2 linked regions of the Arabidopsis thaliana genome follow. The protein of the gene in region 1 interacts with the protein of each later gene in a biochemical or structural test. Each region holds a gene or a part of one and is shown in the gene's direction. Other genes may lie near its edges.

The links.
Region 2: the proteins of FLN2 (region 1) and PTAC5 form a complex in vitro, tested with the Arabidopsis thaliana proteins (one study listed by BioGRID).

Annotation. Positions count from the first base shown.
Region 1 is NC_003070.9:26,014,483-26,019,149, forward strand, and holds FLN2 (fructokinase-like protein), read left to right. Parts: upstream 1-1,541; coding exon 1,542-1,582; intron 1,583-1,830; coding exon 1,831-2,165; intron 2,166-2,247; coding exon 2,248-2,900; intron 2,901-2,980; coding exon 2,981-3,452; intron 3,453-3,539; coding exon 3,540-3,883; downstream 3,884-4,667. Other genes in the region: AT1G69190 (Dihydropterin pyrophosphokinase / Dihydropteroate synthase), read right to left, coding at 1-99, 224-227; AT1G69210 (Uncharacterized protein family UPF0090), read right to left, coding at 4,101-4,400, 4,491-4,599. UniProt on the Arabidopsis thaliana protein: Required for proper chloroplast development, most likely through regulating plastid-encoded polymerase (PEP) dependent chloroplast transcription.
Region 2 is NC_003075.7:7,946,572-7,951,790, forward strand, and holds PTAC5 (plastid transcriptionally active 5), read left to right. Parts: upstream 1-2,007; 5' UTR 2,008-2,072; coding exon 2,073-2,645; intron 2,646-2,857; coding exon 2,858-2,953; intron 2,954-3,042; coding exon 3,043-3,156; intron 3,157-3,302; coding exon of another isoform or gene 3,303-3,356; exon of another isoform or gene 3,357-3,570; coding exon 3,571-3,817; coding exon of another isoform or gene 3,818-3,840; exon of another isoform or gene 3,841-3,979; intron 3,980-3,982; coding exon 3,983-4,020; intron 4,021-4,112; coding exon 4,113-4,208; 3' UTR 4,209-4,451; downstream 4,452-5,219. Other genes in the region: PRR2 (pinoresinol reductase 2), read left to right, coding at 1-59, 668-908, 1,028-1,231, 1,521-1,681; AT4G13680 (hypothetical protein (DUF295)), read right to left, coding at 5,145-5,219. UniProt on the Arabidopsis thaliana protein: Exhibits zinc-dependent disulfide isomerase activity. Required for seedling and chloroplast development under heat stress, probably by maintaining plastid-encoded RNA polymerase (PEP)-dependent transcription.

The DNA of each region.
Region 1 (4,667 bases):
ATCGTAAAGCTTCTTTGAAATTATTCATTCTGTTTCCAACATTGCTTCCCAAAGCTATCACGACTTCTTCGAAAGTTGTTGTTTCCAAAGATGTGAAATCTGAGTCATATACAAAACATGTTTCGAAGGTGAAATATGATTCAATACTTAACAGAAATTAGTGTATCAAAACGTAAACGCTGTTTTTTTCAACGAAAATGAAACGGATGAAAAAGATACGAACCCATTTTAGAATAGGTTCCTCCAAAATATCAGTATTGTCTGCTTCGATCTGACCTTAAAGTATACAAAACTATGAGTTTAGTCTTAGATAACAACGAAACAATTATTAGAAACACAAAAAATGGGTTCTAATATTTTAAGAACCAAGGAAGTAAACAATACTTATGTATGAGAGAGGCAAGGTGGTAGCCAATTTTCACCTACTTTTTTTCTGAACTTGTTGTGTTATCCAAGTACCTTCTGTCTTTCACGCTCGTCAAAAGTCAGCTTCTCTTTTGAATTAGATATGAAGATCTAGAAAAGAAAAGAAAAAAGAGAAGAAAACTTTGTTTTTAGAGAGATTTTGAAATTGGTAATGAATCTCTCATAATTTTGAAATTGGTAGTGAATCTCTCATAATTCTTTTCATTATCTATTCTATCTTTTACCATTTAAACATATATTTGGATAGATGATGGAAAATTGTGTGTTAGTCTCCAGCTATTTCATTCCATTTTTAAAAAATATCAAAATTTTCATAGATTTGTTCTGACTACATCAATTTTCTTTCATTCCACTCAAGGCACTCATGGTTACATTACCAATAGAAATTAATTAACCATACAAAATTCTAATTATTATAACTCCAGACGATATTATTTTCACTATATAGCAAAAAATAGCCGTTTTACCATAACATATATACAGTCTATATTTTTTGACGAAAAATAAATAAATATACAGTATATATATATATATATATCCTCGTGTTAGAATTGTATTAAGTTTTTCATCACACCATCTTTAGGCATTATTTCTATGCCAATCAAATCATTTACTCGTAAATCATCATAGTAATTATGATTTCAGTTAATCGTAAGTTTTTTGTAGCTTTGTGATGATGAGCCAATTAACTTCACAACAAAATATTTTCCTTGAAGTAGTTTTTTAATAGCAAACGATTTCACGAAAAACTTTACATAACAAATATTTCTACCTACATTAAAAGAATGTCATATAGACAATACTAAATTCACTAGCTTTAAAGAAGAAAAATGAGCCGTAAATAAATTATAGTAGACAGAATAGGGACATCTTGACGTTTTAGTATTTTGATCATAGAATGCTTGCCGTTTCGTTAAAGCGCTAAACCTCCTCCTCATCCTCTCCCAGCTAGCTCCTCTTGCGGTTTCAGAGCTTAAACCCCAATCTCCCTCAAAACTCATAAACATATTGCTCTCCTTTGTTCATTTCTGGGTTTACGCTTCTTTCGACTTTATGGGTTTCGGAGCTTAGTTTTACTACAATTTCGTTTGGAAAAGAGCTCTTATTTGATGTTCATGGCGTCTCTCTCCTTCACCCAATTCTTATCATTCCCCAGGTCCCTTTGCTTCTCTCTCTCTCTTGTTTTCTAACCTTAGGAAATTTTAGTATATGGGTTTCTATGGATTTGGCGTAGAACCAGTTTACTGCCCAAAAATGTGCGAACTTTAAGTTTAGCTCATCTTATCTTTCTACAGAAGAATGGAGTAACAATGATTTGAATTGAGGGCTATATTTGTCTTTCTGTTTGAAAATTTCACATTTTGATGTAATGGTTTTCTCATAGCTGTGCTTTGATTTTGGCAGATGCAATGCAGATGTTCCTTGTCTGCTCCAGTCGCATGGTTTTGTGAAGTTTAGAGGTGAAAGATGGAATGGGAAACAAAGCTTTTCTATGGCTGCTGGTAGGAGAAAGTTATCAGAGTCAGCACCTCTTGAAGAAGAAGGTAATGATGGAAACGGTGCGGTTGTGGGAAAGAAACCATCTAAAAGTGTTAAGAGAACAACGAAGAAGAAGGTTGTGGTTAAGGATGAACCATTAGAAGAAATTTCTGAATTTTTGGTTGATAATGATGATGTTTTAGACAAGGAAAGCATTGTCTCAGCTTTGAAACCAAAAAAGACAAGAACTAGAAAGAAAGGTAATGACTTTTACCATTTCTGAGCTGATGGTTCTCACTTGATGATTCACGAGTACTTAATTTGAATTCGACATATATACAGCTGCAGCAGCTTCTTCTGATGTGGAGGAAGTAAAAACCGAGAAGAAAGTGAGACGAAAGAGGACTGTTAAGAAAGATAAAGATGTGGAGGATGATTTAGCTACTATTATGGATGCTGAGGTTAGTGATGTCGAGGAAGCATTGGCTGTTGAAAGCACTGATACAGAGAGTGAAGAAGAAGAGATTGATCTGAGTAAACATGAAGGTGAAGATATTAGTCACACTTATGGATGGCCTCCTCTCGTGTGTTGCTTTGGATCTGCACAACATGCTTTTGTGCCTTCGGGAAGGCCAGCAAACAGGCTATTAGATTATGAACTACACGAACGGATGAGAGATGCAAAGTGGGCTCCAGAGAAGTATATCCGGGCTCCTGGAGGATGTGCAGGAGGTGTTGCTATTGCTCTTGCAAGCTTGGGTGGTAAGGTTGCTTTTATGGGCAAACTTGGGGCTGATGACTATGGTCAAGCCATGTTGTATTATCTGAATGTGTGCAAAGTCCAAACTAGATCAGTTAAGATTGATGGTAAAAGGGTTACGGCGTGTTCTACTATGAAGATCAGCAAGAGAGGTCGCTTGAAATCGACTTGTATTAAGCCATGTGCAGAGGATTCACTTTCAAAATCTGAAATCAACGTTGATGTGCTCAAAGAGGTAATATATTGTCCTGGAGATTTGGAACATTGAGTTTTTGGCTCTTTTTCTTGTTCACCAATCTCTTAACTTTGGTGCAGGCGAAAATGTTCTACTTCAGCACGCATTCTCTACTCGATAAGAAGATGATGTCAACTACGATACAAGCCATCAAGATATCAAAGCAACTAGGCAATGTCATTTTTTATGACTTGAATCTCCCTTTACCACTATGGCACTCCAGCGAAGAAACCAAGTCTTTCATACAGGAAGTGTGGAATCTTGCAGACGTCATTGAAATCACAAAACAGGAACTTGAATTCTTATGCGGAATCGAGCCTACTGAAGAGTTCGATACAGAAAACAATGACATCAGTAAGTTTGTCCATTACCCGCCAGAAACTGTGGAACAGCTTTGGCATGAAAATCTCAAGGTCTTGTTTGTGACCAATGGCACTTCTAAGATCCATTACTATACCAAAGAGCACAATGGTGCTGTTTCCGGAATGGAGGATGTTCCCATTACTCCTTTTACAAGGGATATGTCAGCATCTGGAGATGGCATCGTTGCAGGTACATTTTCACTTGTGTCATTTGTTTTTCATAGCAATTTGGAAGTTATGCTTGCGATTAACTGAACCACACTACTCTCTATTTCAGGTCTAATAAGAATGCTTACGGTTCAGCCAGATCTTATGAACAATAAAGGGTACCTGGAACGCACAGCGAGATATGCAATTGAGTGTGGTATTATTGATCAATGGTTGCTGGCACAAACCCGAGGATATCCTCCAAAGGATGACATGGAAGAAGAAGAAGATGATGAAGAAGAAGATGAAGTGGAATCAGATCCAAACGGTATAAGATCGATAACAGAGAAGGAATACAGAACCTCAAAGCCTTATGATGAACCAGATGGTCCATACGTTATGAAACCAGTAGAGGAAAGGGAGTACAAGAAGTTAGAGCTTGTTGGCTCAATGTTTGAAGATGGTAGTTTATGATTTTCATAAGATTTGATAATGTTTCTGTTAGTCAGCTTTTTTTTCCTGTTCACATCTTACAACATCTTAGTAGTGTGAATTTTTGTCATATGTTTTGATATCTCACTCACCATCTCAACTAATACAAAATCACTTGAAATTATCCGGAAACAGCAATGTGAAACTGCAGTGACGATGAACTTACTTTAATAGCAACTCTACTTCTACGTCTACTTAACTAATCCAAGTAGAGATTTATCTTCTTGTGATCTGCGAAAGGCAGTGTGATTCTCAAGTCCTTTTGTTTCCGGCTTAACGGTCTGCCTTTGCTTTCGGGATCTCTGTTCTCCCTTACATCTGCTAATTTCCAGACACAGTTATCTGATTCTGCATCTATAGACTCCAAGAGGAACACTCCACTCTTTACTGCTTTCCTCGAGTTTGTTTCTTCTACATAGCTTACTGTCATTGGCATATCCTTGAATCGGGGCAAGTCCTCTGGGACTCTCAGTAGCCTCTCCGCTCCTGGAGATGACACCTACACAGAAAAAAAAAAAACGGAAACAAAATTTTGTAACAAAACTGAACCAAGTGAGAGTTGATTCACTGGGGAAAGACTCTTTTTGACCTCAAGGGCTAGATCCTCTGGGATTACTTTTTCAGCCCCAGCATCATCTAGTCTTTTCTTAAATTCTCGACTAAATTCCTCAAGCTCATCCATGGTAGGACATCCATATCTTTTTTGTACAATAAAAAAGAAGAAGCTTTCGTTAATTCTCAAAACATACTGCTCTTTTGCAATGGT
Region 2 (5,219 bases), on another chromosome or scaffold:
ACAACATCCCCGTTCAGCTCAAGCTCGTCGCAGCCATCAAAGAGGCCGGTAACGTCAAGGTAAAAGGACTCATACATCACTAAACACTTTTCTTTCTAGTGTAGTTGTTACCTTTTTCATCAGAGTTTAAAGCAATTTAAAATACCGATTATCGTAGCTGGTATTCCAAAAAAGTTGCTTTGGCATATATACAACATAAATTAATAGTATATGTGTTAAAAAAATATGAAGGTACAATGTATCTGTCTGCATCAATGACATATGCATCTTTTGAAAATAGCTGATATATTACGGCTATATTTTGCTAACAATCGCAAATGAATTGAATTTAACTCTATAGACATATACTCATTTTTAAAAATTTAATAATTTTCTTGGAAAAGATAAAGATCCGTTTGTAAGATAATTGTGTAACACAAAAGTCACCTTTTTGGCTTACCAATAACAAAGTTTTAATAAGCTTGCATGCATTATTGTTCAAAGACTATCTAAAGGTTTTTGAAATAATAATAAATCATTTTAGAAAAAAAAACAAAATTATACAACCAATCTTGTCGGATGTTTTTTTAATAATATTGACTGTCTTAGCTTATGTTCGGTGGTGCTTACACTAAAAAATTAAAATATTTCAGTGAAACTACTTACAATAAGTTAAAAAATATTTCAGCGTTTCTTACCATCAGAATTTGGAATGGATCCGTCACGTATGGGACATGCCATGCCACCAGGAAGTGAAACATTTGATCAAAAAATGGAAATACGAAATGCAATTAAGGCCGCCGGGATCTCCCACACATACCTCGTCGGTGCTTGTTTTGCCGCATACTTCGGCGGAAATTTATCTCAAATGGGAACTTTGTTCCCTCCGAAAAACAAAGTTGATATTTATGGGGACGGAAATGTTAAAGGTTAGAAGAACTCTTATGGAACGCTCTCTCTTCATATTTTTCTTTTTTCTATTTGTGTCACTTTTATAATCATGAAAATTCTAAAAAATCTATTTTTGTTCCCATTGGTTTTATTATAGTGGTGTTCGTAGATGAAGATGACATGGCAAAATATACAGCGAAGACGCTTAATGATCCCCGAACGTTGAATAAAACTGTGTATGTTAGACCTACCGACAACATTCTCACACAAATGGAACTAGTTCAGATATGGGAGAAACTAACCGAAAAAGAGTTGGAGAAGACCTATGTTTCAGGAAACGACTTTCTTGCTGACATTGAAGGTAAATCTAATCATCATCTAGTAACCAAATTAAACAAACCTAGCTTTTGGATTATAGATTTCTATCACATCTCTTAAATAAAGCATTGGATTAATGTAAGGTTGGTTTAGTATTAAAACCGAAATGTAAAAGTTGGTCATGCCAAGTATTTATTTTCTATATATCACATCTCATAAATTAAAGTAGACGTTTTTGTCTTTTAGATTCTAGTAAATTATGAGAAAGAGTTGAATTTAGACCAAGTATTTATTTTCTATTAAATGTGAAAATGTTTATTATATACATGCAGATAAGGAGATATCACACCAAGCGGGACTAGGACACTTTTATCACATATACTACGAAGGTTGTCTCACAGATCATGAAGTTGGAGACGACGAAGAAGCTACTAAACTCTATCCGGATGTGAAGTACAAACGCATGGATGAATATTTGAAAATTTTCGTATAATGTTACATATATGTGAAACACATCGCCATTTCCTTATTTTTATGTTTTACCATGGCCTTTTGTTTTGTTTGCTTGAAGATGTTTTCCGAATTTATTTTAAAATTTAAATGTTTCAGTTATGGATATGTCTGGTTATATATAGATATACATATAATCTCAAGGGTCCGAAAATTTCCAAAAGTAAACTCAAGGGTCTGAAAAGATAATTTGGAAATTTAAGTCCTTTTCCTAGAATACCACCGATAATATAAGGGCTTTATACACAAATACACAAGAGATACTTCGAGAAGAGATTAAAAAATAAATAACATAAAAAAATGGAAATTATCTTCCCGCCATGTGTATGTGGTAACTAACAAAAGCTTCGATTACTTTATCCTCTCACTCTCTAATGGCTTCTTCTTCTCTACCTCTTTCTCTTCCGTTTCCACTCCGATCTCTTACTAGTACCACTCGATCTCTACCATTTCAATGTTCTCCTCTCTTTTTCTCTATTCCTTCTTCAATCGTTTGCTTCTCCACTCAAAATCCCGACCGCGAAGAGGTCCGGTGGCTCCGGGAAGAGCAGAGATGGATTCGCGAGGAGCAACGATGGATTCGTGAAGAACAGAGATGGATACGCGAACGTGAATCGCTTCTACAAGAGATTTCGGATCTACAGCTCAGAATTCAATCCCTAGAGTCACGAAATTCGCAATTGGGGAATTCTATTCCCGATACGATTTCGAATATCGCTGCTTTGCTTCAGGTTTTGAAGGAGAAGAATCGGATTTCTGAGAGTGGATTGAGCGCAACGCCGATGGTATTGGAGAGTACGAGAGAACAAATTGTTGAGGAGGTGGAAGAAGAAGAGAAGCGAGTGATTATTGCTGAAGAGAAAGTTAGGGTTTCGGAGCCGGTGAAGAAGATCAAGAGGAGGATATTGAAAGTTGGAAGCGAAGGCGACGATGTTCAAGCTTTGCAGGTCTGCTCTCAGTTTTAAACCAAAGGCGAGTAATTTGTCAATTTAGTTCTATCATCACTGAGAATTAGCTTAAAATTGAGAGATTAGGATGATGATTTGAAGTAGTTTAGCCAATATGCATAAGTTTGAGGTTGATTTTAGTTGAAAGTGTTGGGAGAATGTTTATTTTTTTGATGGTTTCTGTTGTGGATTTGGTTTCCTCTATGTGATAGGAAGCTCTGTTGAAATTAGGATTCTATTCGGGCGAAGAGGATATGGAGTTCTCGAGCTTTTCAAGTGGGACTGCAAGTGCTGTTAAGACTTGGCAAGTATGTTTTTATGCATTTAGCTCGCAGTGATTTTCTCATGTGCTCATGTAGTTTTGATTTTGACACGGTTCATGTTTATGGTTTAAAAGGCATCGCTTGGGGTCCGTGAGGATGGGGTAATGACAGCAGAGCTTCTTCAGAGGTTGTTCATGGATGAAGACGTAGAGACAGATAAGGATGAAGCAAGTACAATGAAGAAAGAGGTAAAAACTGAAACCACTAACTACAGCTCAGAGAACTTGTTCTATAGCATGGCTCGTTTCTAACCGACTTATATAATATGATAGATTTTAGCTGTGTAGTAAGCCTTTGGAGTAGTTATGAAGTCTCTCTTTACTTTGGTATGCAGTCTTCTTACGACAGAATATGGACTCCCATTGTATGCTTTTGGCAAGCTTGTTAGCTAAGATGATGTTTCTGTTGCTAGTGAGCTTTGTTCGGAATCTGAAGTGTCTAATATGAGTCTGAAATACAATTGGTAAATGGGATAAATACTACATTGTCTTGTTTGAGGTTTTAGGGAACATGAATATTCTGAAATTTCTCTTAATTTGCTTAATACACCTGTTAAGACTGGTTCTTTATACTGGATCTTTCTTTTAATTCCATTGATTAAGGAAGCTGGTAATGGGGCGGTATTTACTTCAGTGACACAAGTCCCTGAGAAGAAGCAATCAATCGTGAAAGATCAAAGTGACAGAGAAGTTGACGTTACTCAAAATCGGGTTTTTCTTCTTGGAGAAAACAGATGGGAAGATCCCTCCAGGCTCATTGGCAGGAACAAACCGGTAGACAGAAGTGAATCAACAAACACCAAAACGAGGTGCATCACTTGTCGAGGGGAGGGTCGATTGATGTGCCTAGGTAAATCCCTTCTCCCTGGTTAAGTGAAAATCATCCGTTCTTTGAAAGTTAAGAATGATTTTTCTTAGCAAATTGAGACTGCTAATAGACACCAACCTTAGTAACACTTCAAGCACTGAGTTGTAGCACATTATTTGATGATTATAAAATGAAAACTTGATGTAGAGTGCGATGGAACCGGTGAGCCAAACATTGAGCCGCAGGTGAGTAAAATCAAAATAACCCCGCTCCGATTATGTGTATGTATGTATTATCAAGTAGCCTAAAGCAGAGAAGCTCTTGTCCAATGTTGTAGTTCATGGAGTGGGTTGGTGAAGATACGAAGTGTCCGTACTGTGAAGGTCTTGGCTATACAGTTTGCGATGTCTGCGACGGCAAAAAAAACTTATAATAATGATTCATATTTAATTTAATGAAAAAACAAATTAGTTTGTTTTCCAAATCGCATAATATGGTTGTTTAAGAGAGATATATATATAAATTTAGTGAACAAGTACGTAGTTAGTTTGTTTTTCAAATCACACGAATGGAAATCGTCTTTTTAGGATAATTTCGCATAGGTGCTATCAAATTTTAAATTCAATTAATTTAAATTAATGTCAAACCGGAAATAACATTTTATTTTATATTTTCATTTCATTTAAATGTTTTTTATATATATTTAAACATGAAGTCCAATATCTTATATTTTAATTATCAAATAATATTCACTTTGTAAAATTAACAATAATAACTATTAATTTTAGGCATATTATTTTCGTAAGAAGAAAAATATTAATATCAATTTCCTAATAATAATAATATTTAAACACATCATTCAATTTAGAAAAAAAAACAAACAATATTATTCAGTTGAATATTAAACATTTATACAATATATTTTATTTATACGGAAAACTTCTTATAAAGTATTTTATAAAAGATTTGTAGATTGTACGAATATTTTCTACTTTTAAAATTATTATTTAAAATCTTTTAGTTGTGAAATTTTGTATGGATAGTGGAGAATTAATTGTGAGGATTGTTTGGATACTTTGATGGTAGAGATAAAATATATTTTCTTCTTGGAGAAAACAGATGGGAAGATCCCTCCAGGCTCATTGGCAGGTAAAATCATTGGTTATTTGAAAGTTAAGAAGAAAAGCTAGTATTCGTTCTTAGCAAACTGAGACTGCTAATAGAAACCAACCTTATAGCAAAAGGTTGGATCTTTTAATCCAACATGTTCATCGTCCCAACATAATCGATGTTTAAAAGGTTTAAAAGAAAAGACAAGACTCTAAGACTCTTAACTCAATTCCCATTTGAGATGGAATAGTGATTGACTCTAACAATCCCACTTTTGTTTAGCCAGCTTGAAATATCTGTCTTCGTTGACATCAACGATTTTGACGAAGTTAGG